Oryzias latipes: one gene and its partner. Each later gene encodes a partner of the first gene's protein in a complex. Links are inferred from orthologs where the notes say so. Each region holds a gene or a part of one and is shown on either strand. Other genes may lie near its edges.

The links.
Region 2: papd5 (region 1) and zcchc7 share a complex: the UniProt entries of both Homo sapiens proteins name them as parts of the nucleolar TRAMP-like complex. The link is inferred for Oryzias latipes from reciprocal best matches to the Homo sapiens genes TENT4B and ZCCHC7.

The regions. Positions count from the first base shown.
Region 1 is NC_019861.2:30,427,720-30,436,563, forward strand, and holds part of papd5 (non-canonical poly(A) RNA polymerase PAPD5), read right to left. Parts: intron 4,361-8,844; coding exon 4,240-4,360; intron 3,892-4,239; coding exon 3,784-3,891; intron 3,599-3,783; coding exon 3,470-3,598; intron 3,213-3,469; coding exon 2,999-3,212; intron 2,914-2,998; coding exon 2,787-2,913; intron 2,696-2,786; coding exon 2,592-2,695; intron 2,520-2,591; coding exon 2,311-2,519; intron 2,232-2,310; coding exon 2,085-2,231; intron 2,000-2,084; coding exon 1,844-1,999; 3' UTR 1-1,843. UniProt on the Homo sapiens protein: Terminal nucleotidyltransferase that catalyzes preferentially the transfer of ATP and GTP on RNA 3' poly(A) tail creating a heterogeneous 3' poly(A) tail leading to mRNAs stabilization by protecting mRNAs from active deadenylation.
Region 2 is NC_019859.2:12,834,594-12,843,437, reverse strand, and holds the end of zcchc7 (zinc finger CCHC domain-containing protein 7), read right to left. Parts: intron 6,267-8,844; coding exon 6,171-6,266; intron 5,276-6,170; coding exon 5,158-5,275; intron 4,193-5,157; coding exon 3,603-4,192; 3' UTR 2,942-3,602; downstream 1-2,941. Other genes in the region: pgm2 (phosphoglucomutase-2), read right to left, coding at 881-955.

The DNA of each region.
Region 1 (8,844 bases):
GCATGAATTTGAATAGCTGCAGAGGAATTCCAATCAGTACAGTCTGGGTTCAAAGCCTTATTTTGTGGTTAAAACAAGTGGCCAGGGTTCATTTTACCATTTTATCCGTCAAGCATAACAGTCACACTGGTGAATGTGGAGTGGGTATTTTAACCAACTTATATTTTCTCATTTAACAGCCTCTAAATGTGGGTTTTTTTTCCTGCTTTTGCTGGCTAGTTGAATAACTGCGGGTAACTTTTGAGTAATTTCAACTGTGCTTTGGTGTGCTGCTCCCTCTGATATTTATTAATCTTAACAGGTTTTCTGTGTGCAAAAAAGCCAACTAAGTGGAAAAATGAGCGTAATAACAGTCAATCACTGATCTTAACCAGCCACGTGCCGTATAAACATGGAACAAGGGCTCCATCTACAGGCCAGTTGTTGTACTGCAACACTTGAGATGTTTGTTGTGACCGTTTTTTTTACCCAAGATAGGTACAACAAAGCTACCAAGAAAAGAACAAAAATCCCTTTTTGAGTAAGTAGACCTGCCTAATAGTAAAGCAAAAAGGATTCCACGTGCTTATAAAATGGTCTCTTCAATTTTCAAAGGTAACTTGGTCACTCAACTAGTAGAACGAATAAAAAGATCATTTTTACCTGTTCCTGAATATATCTTTTTCTATCCAACCTCAGCTCCAAATGATCCCATCTTAAAATATAGGACTCAGATATGAGATACAATATTAATAATACATTTATCCGTACTATGTCCATGTAATTAATAAAAAAATAAATACATTTAACAAATACAAATGATTCTGCAGTTGGTAAATTCCTAAATAAACAGATTATCTCCCACAGACCAATTGCTAACACATTTCAAGTTTAGGATTTTTAATAAAATCATTACCACCACCAATAGGTTTCGACCTTCAAGCTTCTATACTGATGTGGTTGTGCTACTTAAAGAGTACAAAGCTCATTTCTGTTATCTATGGGTGGGTGGTGTGAGCTCTGCCTCACTCAAAGCTAGCTGTCAACACGCTCAGATGAACCTGAAGTAAAAATAAATGCTGATGATTTCTGTTGGCAATGGGGACCCGAACCAGCTGCTGATTGGTCCAAACAGCAGCCGTCATAAGACGCGTCGCGTGTGTTTAAGTGACTTTTATCCAGTGAGGTCGTAAAAAGGTCCTATGAAATCGTTTTTTTTTCTTGTCTCCTCATATGTGCAACAATTTTCTTTAAGCATTGTACAAATGTTTTTGTAGAACTCGACAAAACGGATTCACAGAGAAATTCAACAGAAGAAAAATATCATGCATAACTTAATTCCCACTCTCACTGATTGCATTTGTAAGTAGCATCATAAAAAAATTGTATAAGTGTTTGACATTTTTCCTTTTTTGTACATTAAAATATTTTTTTTTGTCTTTTTCCTCATTTTTTTTCTTTTTTTTTGTGAGGGCGGGAAAATCAAATTGGTGATCTGGTTTGCAGTTCCAGGTTTTTGCTCCGGAGCAGAGTCAGTTCCAGGTGCTTGGTCCTGGCCTCGTCCTGAACAGCAGGGGGTGCAGGAGCCTGGCTGCGGGAATTAAAAGGGCTCCATAAATGAAGCCGATGGGAAGCAATGGAGTATTCACTCTTAGTTACAGTTTAGGTCCAAAAATATGGTTCCCACTGCCAATAAGGTTTTTTTTTGTTTTTCCTCAGTAAGAAAGCAATATTTGTCACCCTGAAAAGGGTCACCGGAGTCCTCAGGTGTTCTGAAACCACCAATAACATCCAGAGGGAGAAGTAAAACCTTTATGAGAAGAAGGTATCGAGGGGTTGGAGGAGTTGCAGAACAAAGTAACCCCTATCTGTAGAGATCCTCTTGTGTGGAGTCCCGTACATTTTTCCTCTTCTTGCTATTGCCCTGGTGAACCAGCTTGTTTTTAGGATTATTTGTGGTTTTGGTTGAGTTCTGCTGCCCTTGGTGACCATTATTGTGGTGGGCACGAGACATCCGGGCCTGGAAATTTGAAACATAATATTTAATATATATGATCAAACCACCAGCACGTATGGTTATTAAACTGGGTTTACGCTGAGCACACCTTTCCTCCTTTGTTGCCTGTGGTTGGAGTGATGGTAGATTGATTCTGTGTGCGGTGATTAGTGGCCACAGCCGGCTTTTCTCTGAGAGTGCCAGGGCCTCGACCGGGCTGCTGCTTGGCCGTCTTACACGGTGTGCCGTCAGAGTCCTGGAGAAAACCGTTTTTCCTATTAACGAAATCCCCCTTTAACACACCTGGAGTTCCGTGTGCAGCTCAGGTAACTCACCGCATCGCTGGAGGTAGACGTTGGGGACGTGGATGGCGGGGACAGAGGGGAGGAGGAGTGAGACGAACGCAGGGAGGGGGGTGGAGACGACGTGTTGGAGAACGTTTTGCTGCGAGGAGCTAGTGGCAGAACAACAACCACCTCGTCGTCTGGAACGTTGTTGTTGCGCTCATCCAGCTGCTGGGGATCCAACAGCTTCACATCGTTTTCTACAAAGAGAAGCAGCTGATGTCTTTACTGTGACAAAAAGTAAATAAAGTTTCAAAAAAGTATAAACCTACTATTAAGAGGCAGATCAATCTGCGATGAGTTGCCCCAGTTATTTCGGATCCATTCCCTGTACTCGTCCACTTCCTTGGTCACCCGGATTATCCGGCCAAGTATGCTACAATGAAGGAATCGAGTTAAACACGTCTTAGTTTGAGTCAACTAACAGCTAGTCTCTACAAAGACCACAATAACATCGCTCTCCTTACCTCTCACTTTCGTTATTGGGATAGCACTTGGCAATCTGTGATACAGCATGGTGGAGCACCACAAAGGCGTATTCAAAGGCCTGCTTCACCTGCATGGCACCGTAGGAGCTCCTGCCGACATCATTGTCTATGTGGCACAAAGAAACAACAAACACGCTGCTTTAATACCCAGATTCCTATTTCAAACGTGTGTTTGTTGTTAACAGTATCACCTGGCTGCAGAGGGTCCTCAATGTAGAGCATAGACGGCCTGTATCCATCCATCATGTTCTTCTGGACCTCATCTTTGGCCACATAAGAACCGCCGTCTTTTATCCGGATGCCCGTTTTCAGGTAGTTGAAGTGGCGACCGTACAGTTCGAAGAATTCAATCAGCAGCACACCGATGTTGATGTTGGGGCTGCACACGTCCTCCCTGAAGTGAAGCTACAAACAAAGAAACGGATTTAGACTTAATGTCAGGACAGTAATCAGTGTTTCTGCAAGACCCTGGGTCATATTTTGCAGCCATATTCTGACATTTTCGGTGTTGCCGTTTTTTTTAGGTTGGAAAAAAAACCAAATCTTTAAAACACAGAAAATCTTGTTTTTAAGCAGCTTCAGGACACATTTTCATTCTGGTGATGAAACACTGATGCTGAGGAAACCGTCATCGCTTCCGAAGCGTTGCTTGCTGAACTAACCTGCAGGAAGCTGACAGCCATGAGAAAGAGACTGTAGGAGCCGATGCCCCCGGTAAAAACCTCATTAAGGTCTCTTTGTAGAAGAAACTGCTTCAGCACCAGAACCAGGTAAGGCAACACGGGGTACTTCTGCAATGAAGGGAGATTAAAGACTCTGGATCAGCTAAAGGTTTAAGGGACACACTTCAAAAATAAAAACATGGTAGTCTATATTCCTAATTTTAATTAAATGCCTTACATTTTTTTCAAAACTAATAAATCATTTTTGTCATGCATTAAGATTTCTTGCTCTCTTTCTGTAAACTTTAGGTCACCTCTTTGAATTCCTTGATGAGCCGAGCAGCTTTGACGCCACTTTCCACGTTGAAGCTGATGTCCACTTTGACTTCAGTGACAGAGTCAGTCAGTTTAATGATGGGAACCTAAAAAAAAAGCAGAATTAGTCCTGACACAGACTCTGACAAGTGCTCAATTAAAATAAACTTCATAAAATATAAACAAAATCTTGAACAGGCATTTCATTTACATTACAATTTTAAAGTCTAAATTACTGCTTCACATAAAAGAGCATTAATTTGATGAAATGAGTGGTAAAAATTATATTTAAAAGAAAATCCCAGCACTAAAATCAATTAAACTACCGGTTTTAAAATTCAAACTTTATTTACTTTCTGCCACTTAAAAACTTAATAAAAATATACTTAAAAATAAAAACATGCATTAAGAATCAATCAATACAAATATGAGTCTTTGGGTGAGTTCAGTTTTACCGTTGCTTTATCCAAGACCTTAATCGCGCTCTTATCCGCAACATTTCTCTTCCGAAGAGCCTCTTCCAACGTCCAAAGCGGGAGAGTCTCCCACTTACCGAAAACTACCAGGTCAATGTCACTGGTGAGTAAAGAAAAAGAAAAATTATGGTTTTTTTTTGTTTGAATAACAAACATTTCACACAGCGAACCTATGGTATGGTCATTTATCTTACATTTAAAAGAAATCTCAGGATAAAATCTAGAAAACATTTTGCATCTGAAATAACTGTGGAATACTTTCATAATGTAAGCTTAATAAATAATTGTTCACCAATCCAACTTTAGTGAATAATATTTGGGAAGAAGGATAAATTTTAAAAAGTGCTTCTTCCATGTAATACCTTTAACATAAATATATCTCTGTAACTTGGGACCTTTATTTATTACAAGCCTTCGGATAACTGCAGACTGTTCTGTTATGGGAAATGAGTAGCTTCTAATAAACAGGAAGGGCCGAAAGCATCAAATTAATCAACAATATCTCCAGTGTGTTCACTAAATGGAATTCTAAAAAGGCAGAACCGATGGTTAGATTGCACAGTAAAGATCTTGTGGACTTGGTAACCTTGAAGAGATTAATAAACACATTTCTATAGTAAGAACAGCACACCATGCAGTCAACTGCAAACAGGTCTAAATAGTGGGCCAGAATGATGTCAAGAGTCCTGAAGACTCCTCATCAACATCCTCCTCAATTGAAATCAGACTAACATCCACTCAGTGAGAGCACAGTAAAACAAAACATTCACGGTACTGCGAATGATAACAGGTTAGATTGCCCTTTCCCTTCCGTGCCGACACACTACCTTCTGAAAGGGCCTAAACTGCTTGTAGTACGGGTGGGATCAAGTTATATTAGTCTTCAGGTGTAAAGCCCATTTTTTATTGATGCATTTAACATTAAGGGCAAACTTCATGTTAACATTTAAACCTGGAAGCCTGGGAGTGAAGGTTTTTTTTTTTTTAGATGCAGCTAGGGTTGGGCGATGTCCCTTAAATTGGCCGTTGACGATGTTTGCTGTCAACCATCGGGATGGACGATGACATCGTCGGGGGGGGGGGGGGGGGGGGTATTTTTACATTTTTCGTTCTTATATAACTGCTATTCGTTTTTTTAGTTTTATTTTCCAACTAATGACTAATCCGCGATGATCCCGTATAAACTGAGGGAAGTGACTTTAACAAAAAAAGTAACAAACAAAATAGAAAAGAAGTAGTCCGCTCCCGCACTTCGCTAGTGAAGTGGACCGGCGGAGCGCGGACTTACAGCTTTGTGTTTGAGGGGAAGGGGGGGGGGGGTGGTGCTTTGTTACATGAGCGCTATGTGTGGGAGATTTAAGACTGCGATCCGTCCCGCAGCTCTAGGGGTACAAGCAACCGAACTCAGAACCGGGTCTAAAAGTGTTTGTCTGAGCACAGCTCGGATCGTCAGCACACACAGCGGTTTGAGCATCAAAGCAGAAATGTCGCTCAGTCCTTAGAAAACATTCAAACAATCACGCGGATTTGTGTTTCCAGTCGTGTCCCGACTAAATAAAGGCTGATGTTATTCTTACATGTTTACGTGCAGCCAGCGAGCAGCACCACCCAAAGCTAATGTTGTTAGCCCGTGTTAGCATACGGCTAATCCTGGCTTCGTTCAGAAAAAGCACTGACCACACGGATTAAAATTCAAATGATGAGCGAACAGGTGTTTCATAATAACCGTAACATTATTAAAAGCACGTTTAGAAGATCATCTCGTATTTTACCGAGCTGACATGTCAATGTATATAGCCGCTCGGCGCTGTTAACATTGTTTTGTATTGAATTGTTACATTCAATAAAGTTTGAAAAAAAAAAGCCGCTCGGCGGAATTTATATCCTTCCGGTTTTCAAACCCTACTGCGCATGTGCGAATGATTTATTCCGACGGAAAGTGTGACCTTAGTGAACGTTTTTATATTCTGAAAACATTTTTCTGGGCCCATGTACACGGTTGGATTCTAATCTGACCATTGATCCCATCAAGATATTTTGTACATGTAACCGCGGCTTATGGTGTCGACGCGCAACGTGGCGGGGGCGTGGCATCACGATGGTGGTCTCTCCATCGGGATGTCAGTCACCCATCACGATGGACGATGATATCGTCCATCGGCACAACCCTAGATGCAGCTTTACTCAGTGTTTTTTTCTTCGGGGGGGTTGCAGTGTTGCAGTGAATGCACCACTGTGGCTGCAGTATCCTTGTGTTTACAATTCCGTCAAATGAGGCGGAGACGAACATGTTTCCCTGTTTAGGGGTACTGAACGCATTTGCAAGGTGTAGCAGAAGCCATTGAACACGGCAGTGTCTTTGCTGCCACATGCACACTTCTTGTGTACTACAGGGGTCTCAAACTCAATTTACCTGGGGGCCACAGAAGGCAGGGTCTAGCTATGGGAGGGCCGCAACTTCACACACACGCAACTTGTGAGTGTAAGAGACAAATTTTTATGGAACATATACTATACTATTAACTATACTCTATTATTAACTGTTTTCTGTACAAAATGTCCTTTTAAAACTCTCATTCAAATGAAATACGTGAATAAAAAATCAATAAGTAAATAAATCAATAAAACATTTCTGTTTATTTAGAATGTCCTTTTTAACACACTTCAGTTAACACTGTTGAATTATAACTATTAAACCCATAAGAAGACTTTTTACAGTTCTGTAACGTCCATCAATGGGTTCTTCTGTACACGGCTCCTCTGTCTACTTCTCACTGCCGGACACTTGGCAGCACTTCCTCCCAAACAGCTGAGACCCTCAGTGTGATCCAAGATGATCGTCAGTAAATCTGGACTGTACTTTGGCTTATTGAAATTTAAGGTGGAGAAGTCAGAGAGTATGTGCTCCCAATTTTGAGTCTATGTTGAATTTTTTTATTTTAAAGTTTACTCTTTAAACCACAAATCAGTAAAGGTAAAACAAAATTCAGTGACCATTTTTAGATTTTCTTTCTTATGACTTTTAGCGCATTTAAACCCTAGTCACAAGTTATTGTAGAGCAGCCGGTCAAACATTCCTATAGTTTTATACTGAATTCAAACCGTGGTTCCTAAAAGAACGGGTGCTGTTTACTGGAGATCAGAACAATCATTACCAATACCTGAGATCAGAGAAAAGCTCAAAAGCGGATGGAAATTTATGTTGGCGTCACCAAATATGTGCAGCCAAGATGCACAATCAGCGTGTTTGAGATCACCCAGGTGGACGAAACGCTGCACAGATCACCTGGTGTGCAACATGTTTTTGCCCCAACGTCACCTGTCAGTCATCACAAAAATATCACCAGAAAGGGGCGGGAGCAAGGCCCAACTTAAGCGAACGCAACTGGAAATTTTGTACCGTGCTGACCACAAGCCGCCAAATGACTACAAAATGGTGCATTATGGGAAACGTGTCCTGACGGTTTTTCTAGTTGAGTGATCAATTAAAATCATTTTAAATACCTATTGATTTAAAAAAAAAGGCTACATACATTACAAAACAGTGAGATTAATATAAAAGACATAATAATCAGATCATACTGAGGGGGAGAGGCATATTAAAACAAAATTGAACGTTAAGGACAACGCCAACTTCCTGTTCTCCTTCAGTCTCGCTGCAGATTCGACTTCATCTCCCGAGCGAATAAATACGTTCTAAAAAGGAAAGTAAGGAACTCCTTAATGTGGTCCGGGGAGGGGGCTGTCAGGTGTCCTGCCTTAAATGTTACCCTGCTTTCAAGCCCGGTCAATGTCACGCCCCCAAGAGTCATATACCCCACTGTGATTGGTTAGTTCGTCACAACACTGAAAAAGTGTCATTCATACAGACGGGCGGGACGCGTTAACATTAAACTTTCATATTAAGGCGGGGGCCACAAAATATCGTCTTGGGGGCTGCAAACAATCAGCGGGCCGCAAGTTTGAGACCCCTGGTGTAGAAGGAGTCCTATCCAGTGCTTTCTACATTTAACAAAACTGCTCCCAGTGTGCCATTGGTCAAGCTACAGTTTTACCTCAGCTTGACTTTTTAAGTGGATTTGGGCCCTAATCTCACTATAGCTGACCAAATTTACCAAGAATGTGACTCAACTACAATATTCATTGACTACAACATCCAGGAAAAGAAGCTAAAACGTGTTAAATTTCCTCTGTTTTACTGCATGACTAACAGTAAACTACAGATGCCATGAAAGAGAAAAAATATTTCTCTTCTGCATACGCATTTATTATTGTCTTCTACATTATGACAGGCTGAATAAAAACTAACTGAACTTTTTTTTCATTGATATCAAATTAAAAAAAGTTATTTTGTAATACACAAATCATATATCCAAAACAAAACGGTGACTCAAGCTCTGAGGTTTGAACCGAACCAGGAGGAAAGCATATAGTTGCATCCCTTCAGTAAAGAAAATAAAAGAAACTTTTTTTCCTTCAGTCTGCATTACTTTGCGTGTTTTAGACTCATAAAGAAGACGGCATGCAACCACTCTTGTTAATATTAAAAGGTAAGCAAAAATATAGTTAGTTTCAAATGTATGG
Region 2 (8,844 bases), on another chromosome or scaffold:
AACAGTACTTAAAGATTTCATTTCTGGCCCCCTAAAGAAATTAACAACAGGTCAAGCTGAAAGAAAAATCCCACAACTTGACATCAGTGCAAATACGGTAATTTCCTCCCCCAAAAATATGATAAACTGAATGGAATACATATAATGTAAGTAATACATGGATTTTTACAGCTTAATTGCTTCATTCAACTGCATATGTAATTAACATTAATTGTTATTGTATAAAAAAACAAAAGTCAGCCAGGAATATTGTGCACCATTAATAACAAAAATAACAAAAGTAAAGAGAAAGACTAGTGAAGATGAAGTGATTTTGATAATTAAAAATAAATAAAGATATAACCAAAACTGAATGACCATTTTAAAGCCATTAGTTGGGTTTTATTTAGTAAACAAACCTTGAAAGTAATTTACGTTTAGGATCCCCACTAGAAATATAAAAAATATATCATCTAGACATAGATTTTGTCAGTGATGTGCATTTTGACTAACACAAGACTTGTGTTCACGAGAAATATTTAACAAAATCAAGATTTAGCTTTACTTATAACTTATTAAGTGTATAACAATGGATACACTAGCAATAGTGTGTTTGTCAAGACTAGAATTTTGACACGGAGTTTGCTTTTCAGCGGGGGGGAAAATGTAGTTACTGAAATAAAAGCGAGACATTGTTGAACACTCATCAGCTAAATCGAGTTTGCAACAACAAAGCAACACATTTCTTAAAAAAAAACATTTTGTTGTTAGCTAGCTTAGCTAACGCTAGTCAGCGAGGATTTTCCCTGTTTGAACGGACGTTACAGACCTGCTGTAAACGCCGTAAGGTGTAAAGCAGTGAAAACAGAGAGCTAGCACTGCAGGCTAGCTGTCAGGTTACCTTGTCATACTGCAACCATAGCTGGACAGCCTGGTCCAGTTTAGTGTCACCGGTGGGAACCAAATCGTTCTGCATGTCTCTTCTTAGTTCGGCTCCAGGCGATTTCCAGTTTATTTCTGTAAGTTCTTAGAAGCTTAAAGTTCTCCTCTAAAATGATTTTTCAGCTCTCCAGCAGCCGGGGATGACGGCACCTGACTCCACTTCCGAGCCACAGCAGACAGGCAACCAGCTGCGACCAATGACTGCTTGTAGAGGCCGCGAGGTTTGCGACACGCATGCGTCACTTGCGGCGTTCGTGGACTGTCGTAAAACTGGGTGTTACATTTCTCTGACTTTTTTGTGTTCTAAGGAAGATGAATTTAGATAAATTTATATTTTTTATAAAAACTTTAATTCGTAGATAAAGGCATGTTAATTTAGCATTTACAACCTCAGTGAGCTACTTCAATGTCCTTTGACAAGCTATACATGGTGAAAGTATACAAAATCTATAAAAAGTAAATGATTATGAAAAAAAGTTATCTGCAACTGCATAACCAAAGGCCATCTACTGGACTCTGCCTGTGTCTTTCAATTGTTATTTAAAAGAAATAGATTAAAAGAAACTCATATAAAACTATTTGGAAAAGAAATTCAACGCAAACTGAATTGAACAGTGATGAGTCAGTCGGTTAGGCCACAGTTCAAAACTTCTGTGTCCTTTGAAAGGACATTTAGCCCCCGATTTCCTTCAGTTTAATTAAACTTGTGTGGCCCAGTCTATTTTTGAGAAATGTGTCTGCTAAATGGTTACACGTGAATGCAGCTTCATTACAATTAGACTTCATTGAAAGAGGGATCACAGCAAGAAGCAGCTTAAATGTGGGAGGAGGAAAGGTTCGACTTAAGGTCAAATTGTCTAAAAATGTGGGGTACGCCAAAACCGTTTATAATTCATCTACAGTAAACCTTTAAAATCACTTTTTTCAAAAACTAGTAATGGTGCCGAAATTTGTTATCATAATATAAAGTCTGTTTTGTCCTAATAACTTAGAATCAGTTGTTTTCGCAATGTTGTCCAAGCTAAGCTAAAATAAAAACCACTGTAATAATTCAATTGTGCCCTCATCAGGGACCTTCAACTACATGTTTTACTTCTAAAGAAAAAGTGTTTCTTTAAGTTGAAAGCAAACAATCAAACCCCTATAATCTTATGTAGCATGTAATGAGTGTGGTCAAATACGTGTATAGGGGATAAATGTTCTAATATTTTGACAGAAAACATGAACAAAAATGAACAATCAAGCTGTTAGAAAAAATATTCTAGTAGAAGGATCTTTTAAAAATATGCCAATGACGATCAATATATATAATCATATGCAAAAGTTTAAGTTTGCTTGTAAACATTTTCTTTAAATGTCATTAAATAAAAATGACAAATTCAGATTTCTTTAATTTACCTTGAAATGCCTTCAAAAAGTATTTTTGTTGCAAACAGAATTACTAACAGGTCCAGAGAAGGGGGGAAAAAAAGCTAAAAAATACATGTCAACTTATCTCACTTCAAGTATTTTACATTCTGCTTTGAGTAAAACTAAAAGTCTGCAGACTGACTTACTTTTACTAATCTTCTCAGTCATATTATGGTAGACCAAAAATAAAAACCTGCCAGATTCTTTAGCTTAAACAGGTAGTCATGATGGCAAACATTTTCCATTACCCAACATTAAAAACTATTTGGGAGTTCTAATGTTTGAGGACCTAATGATCGACAAAAACAATCTGCAGCTGAGTTCCAGCTCGTTCTCTGGTCCTTCCTTTTTTAACAACGTGCCATACTCTGCAGGGAAACTCCTCTCTGGTTTAACCCGCCTTTGGGGTAGAGACTTAAGAGGATATAGTTCTGTTTTTATTTACTGCTGTCGGCATAAAAAAATAAAAACGTTAAACCACAAGCCATAACACAAAGAACAAAAAGTTTAGTCTAAATAAACCCTGAATACTTAAGTCTACCAGCACAGCTTCTAATTTTAGTTTTCCCACTGATGGAACGGCTAAAAATAATTATTTTGATTTCCATCGCAAGATTTTAGAATTTATTTTTTGAATACAAAGAAGAAATCATGTCAACTGTCAGTGGCACATGCTAACTAAAACTCCTTTTGTAACTGTTAATCAGCATCACAAACATCTCCAGTAATATGCATATTTATTCTGTAATTACTCATTAAGATGACTTACAATGAATTTAGATAAAGAAGACTTTCTTTCCATCAAAATGACATTACCAAAAGCTTTTTAAAAAGATTTACTATCCTGTTCTTGTAACAGTAGCAAAGGTGTTTCTTTGTCGTACAGCTCAAGACCTGTTTTAAAAAATATTATGGGTTAAATTTGAACAAAGAACAAACCACTAAGAAACTTTTCATCAGAACACAATGTCGACTTAAGCTGTTTGACGTTTCTCTTTGCCAGCCACTAATGCACATTGTCTTCACAGAAAATGTTTCCACTGTAAAAATGACAAAAACATCATCTGAAGCTAAATTACGTCTATTTGCATTTCAATACTACAAAAAGCTTCCAGTTCTGTTCCTGCTAGTGTGATCTAGGCATGAATCACCGTGTGAATTTGTGGGAAAAGGCTCTAAAAGCCTAATGTTGACTACAGCTCTTCTGCTGAAACCTGAGTGACAACACTGAGTGTGGGATGAAAACGGCCCTTGTGGGCACCCCACTGATGCTATCTGCTGCGTTTGCGCTGCTTGATGCTAAACAGGTCTTCATCTGTTGGGTACTGTGTGTTCAGTTTTTTCTGGGAAAATTTTTTCCCGTTTTTCTTTTGCTCTGCTTTTGGTTTTGTTGATGGCGGCCTCCATCTGTTCTCTCCCACGGTCCACCTAGGACAGTCGCGTCGCTTTCCTTGATGTCCCTCTGTCAGAGATGAGTGAATCCGCTTCATCTTATTTTTCTTTTTCATCTTCCTTCTCTCCTCTGCATCCTTTTTTGGCCTTCCTCCTCTCGGAAAGTCATCTTCTTCATCTAAAACGGGTTTAGCAGGTGGTAGTGGGTTTCTGGAGGAGGGCACAGGTCTCTTGGGCTTCCACTGTTTAGCACTGCCACCCCCATCCCTGAACTTTTTTGTTGTGGGTGTTTCATCTCTGAGCTCTTCATCCTTAAAAAATATATGGTTAGGATTGGACTTGTGGATTGGCTTTGGGGTTTGGTAAGGCGTATTGTTCGTCTGGGTGTTGATTTTCGGTTTCTTTTTAGGTGCTGTGAGGGTGGAAGGAGTCTGAGAAGGTCTGGGGAAGCTGCTGTTTTTCCGCATTTCTGATAAAAATAGAAAAAGAAAGAATGAGGTTAGTACTATTTGCTGATGCAGAGACACTCGTGAAGGCGATTAGCCTACATTTGGCATGTGGAAATAAGGAGAAAACCATCACTTCATGAAAAAATTGAATATTTCACAAAGAATACGAGTATTCTCACTGCAAATAAAAAAAAGCATTTTTGTCCTAGCTCGACAACAAAAGAGCAAAATCTCAAAAATCCCAAGTAACAAAGTAATTGTAAACCTTTTACTTTGACAAAATGTTTCAAACTGTTTACCCATGTTACCCTATTATTTTGTATTTTTAAGTTACCTTTGGAATATAAAAAAAAGAACAATTTTAGGTCCATCAAAAGAAATAAAGGTATCCATCTTTAATTTATGGTTGTTTTGATAGGACTAGTTGTTAAAATCCCTAATATTGTACCACTCCAACTACTGAGTTTTGGTTCTTTGGAGTTCCGTGAGGTTTCTACAGCAGGACACGTTGTCAGCTGTGTACCCCTCTTCAGAGGTAGGCCTGCCACTGTCCCCCGCTGTTATTTAGTCATTGTTGCCGTCCAGGTGATGTCACTCCTCCTCAGCCACAGCCAATGGCTTGCCCTCTCAGCTGTGTTGGTCAGCTCCTTAATGGCCTGTCTATAAGCCTGTCCTCTGACCCCGACCTCTCTGAGGAGCTTCGTGGCTGTACTGGCTACACCCTGCACCCTTTTAATTAAGCCAAGTATACATTTAGATGACAAATGGTCTTAAGTATGTATAAATGTAAAAAACAAAAGTTTGAAATGTAACTTTTTTATAAAAGATATATTGACGTTTCTTTATATGACAAACATCTCACAGTCAAATACAATATAATGATGAGGAAAATCTTGCAATAAAAAATCTGAGCTAAAAACAAGTTAATTTAAGCATTATTGCTAAATAAAGATAAATAAAGCCTGGGAAGGAATTAGTAACTTACCTTGAGTTTTTAGTTTTATCCTGTGTTGCCTGCGGTTAATTTCCTTCAATGTGTCGTAATGGTTGACGAATGGGATGGTGGGAAAAACCCCCTTAAACATTCTCTGTTTTGTACAGGCCTGGAAAAAAACAAACAAAAAAACTAAAGCAGAAGAATATTATACCTGGGTTTTTAAAGTCCCACTCCGATCATCTTTTGAGTTGTTGTAAAAGTGTTCCGAGTGTTTTTTTTAAAATAATGATTATGCTGTTTTTAGCCAAAATCTAAAAACCTGTACATTTGTAGGACATAGTTTCTACAGAGCGGCAGGAGTTAATCAGAAATTCGCTTCCGAGTTGTGGGCGGGACTGTTGGTGCTTCCCCTCATCCATCTGTTAGCACGCTCTCCTGCTGGCTGGCTTACAGCCCCTCACACCCCCAAAGTATCATTACCGGTGAAACAAAAATGGCGAAATGGCATCTGAGAGATCCCTGTACGTCTTTGTTTTCTATTTGTCTGCATCAGAATGGAGCGGAGCAGGGAGCTAGTGGCTTGCCGTGGTAGCTTCTACGTCACATCTACGAGCTTTTTTCAATAGCATTTCTTCAGCTGCTCCAGATTCACAACAATTTGAATAATGGAATACTCAGAAATGTCATTTTAAGCTCAACTCTTTTACATATGTCCTCCATCATCAGTAAAATGCCAAAGGAACATGTTAAAAACACCAAAAAACACAATTTTTCACTGTAGTGGGTCTTAAATGGTCTAACTTAAGCACAAGTCATATACTTCAATATTGTGTTCATGTTAAACAAACAAAGGCTGCTGCTTGTTTTTTTCCTCTTTTTTCCCCCCTTTAACTGTGTGAAGCAATATTTTCAGCCATTTATATTTTTGTGCTTTCAAAAAGAATTGTTTGTATAAAGGTTATTTATTAATATATTTTACTCCCTGCTTTCTTCCAGATATCATGTTTTTGACTAAAACATAAAAGAAACACTTGTAAAGTGTGAGCATATGAGATTCGTACGTAGCCAAAGTGTCCCTTCTTGGAGCAGTTGTAGCAGTAAGCAGGAGACCGACCCATATCTTCCGCTTGCTTCTTTACTGGGGGGCCATTTTCAGTCTAAGGACAAAAAAACAAAAAGGGGTTAATTGCATTTTTATAAGTCTAAAGTAGAAATGTGCATCAAACAAAACGAAGGGGTTTATTCTTCCATCCCTCCTCGCTTCTGTCGCCATTCCAATGCTCCCCATTGATAAGGATGGATGTTGATAGAATGAGGTGATTACAAAGGTGTGATTTGAGACCTGTAATGAACCTCTATGATAAGTAACAGTGTGTGTGCATGTGTGTGTGTTGGACACAGACTCCTCTTTAGGCCAGCGTTCTAAAGGACTTCCATGCTTCAGTGCCCACAGCAAATATACACTGATAAAGAGAGAAAAGGGACTGAGGCACCGAGCATTTACTCCTAATGTCTCACACACACACACACGCACGCACGCACTTCTACCAGCATTCACGACAACACATGCACAAAGCTCCACACACCTTCACACTCCTGTCTGGAGTGGCTCCTCCTTCCTCTCAGGCCTGTTTCCAAGATTACAAAAGATTTGTGCTCAACGTCATTTCTTAAACATTACTTAGCTTACCTCTCCTCCCACCTGCCTCCCCTCTTTGCTGTGTACAACCCCCCCGATGCAAACCAACAGACTTGCCCCCCCCCTTCTCGCCTTCTCTTTTCCGCTTGAGTAGTTTTGCAGTAGAAGGGATGAATGTTATTAGAGCACCGCGTCATTATCGGGTCAGGCCTGCCGGGCCCATCTCCATCACAAAGGCCAGGAGATCACAGACCTCCTGCAAGCGCACACCCCGACGTACGCACACATTCACTCATACACGCACACATGTGCACCCCTAAGGAGATCACAGTCCCAGTCTCAGGCCCCCCAATCGCCACCCTTCCTACCCCTCTTCCCATTCATCTTTCATGTAAATTGGCTGTAGGTCTTCCTCTGCCTCTTCCTCCCTGACCTTGGGCTTGCCTTATCTCCACACAGTCTGATCCAGCACACAGACGCTGATTTTGAAGCACAGAAGAGGGGAAAAAAAGGAGAAATTAAATCCCAGCGTGTTCTTTCATCAACCTGAGATCTGGGTGTAAGAACCTGGCATGAATGTGTGTCTGAAAGCATGTGCGAACAAGGAGTTATCTGCCTCTTTCAATATTAATTAAATGGAGAAACCTTTATCCCTCTTTATGGTCTCGCCCTCGTGGAGCCCATTCACAGGATTATAAACAAGGTCAAGCCTGGGGAGAACACCTCAACTTGGAGTTTTTCCAACGTCTGCTGAAAAACAAATCATTTCCCTGCCAAAAAGAGTCTCAGAGGCTCATTTGTCAAATTAAGTGCCACTGATCAGTGTCCTAGCGAAGAATTTTGTTTTTTTTAAATTAACAGTAAAAAAGTTTCTACAGTCACACCTTCCTGCTGAGAAGCTGCCAGTTTTTGGCAACATGACAGAAATACCTCAAGTTTAAAATTCATTTTTTAAATAATCACGGTTAAACAGAATAGTTGTAAACACTGAAATAAAAGCGTAATATACTTCATTGAAAAAGATCCGTCCCATAGAATTGATTTCAAAATGACCCCAAAAAGTTCTAAAAATTCAGATATTTTTCAGTAAAGGTAAAAACAAAAGAAACAAGAGCTGCCTTAATGCTAGAAAGTAATTTAAACACAAGAAAACCTAAAGCTAGTGTTGCTAAAACTACAAGCTAAAACATTCCAACGGATTCTTTGACAACAACAGAATGAAAACCAAAATTTCGCATTTAATGGATTCAGTGGGTCATGTATTAGTAGAACATGTCTATTTCTGATCAAAGGTCATTATAATGGCATAATGGACATGTGCATGCACATACATGTGTATGTGTATTTCTTTTTCTTCTACATTATTAATTTTACAATCAAGTCCTTAATGATCAGCTAAAGTTGACAAATCTATTTATAGGGATACATTTCTTTTGTTTGTCTTTAGGATTTTCTGTTTGAAATAAATCAATTCCAAATGTAGTGGAGCAACAAAATCCTCATCTTACACCATGTTGCAGACGGTGCTACTAAAGCTGTACAACACTGATAAAACACACCAGCAGCCTCAGACGGTCTTTCTGAACCGGATGTTCATTATCAGTTTCTCTGCACAATCAACCAAAAGTGTGTTTGTTCTGCAGTTTTCCTGCATGCTGAAGAGCTTTAGAGTTAGTGCACCAGTCAAACCTTTAGATATGTTTGAGCAGTAGTCATCAGATGACATTCTATTCAAATGTAGTGCATGGAATGGCATTGTATACAGTATTAGCAAACACACAAACAAGTTGTGTATGAAAGAAAGCCATTGTAAGTTGCAGAAATACCAAGAGATTGCAAAAACATGCAACCTTGCAACATGGACGTTGATTATGTTTATTATATTTCTTTTGTTGACTTTAAAATCAACAGAAAAGGGTTTTTAAAAAAAACGGTTTTGAATTTAACACTGACATTGGTTTCTCTCTTCGTTTCTCTGTTTCTGTTTGTCTCTTTCCTGACCTCTGCTACCCAAACTGTCACTGCGCCATCTGGTGGTCATCTATTCTTCTTGATGAATGTTTTTTTTTTTTTCTGTGGCAAATTAGAGAATGTTT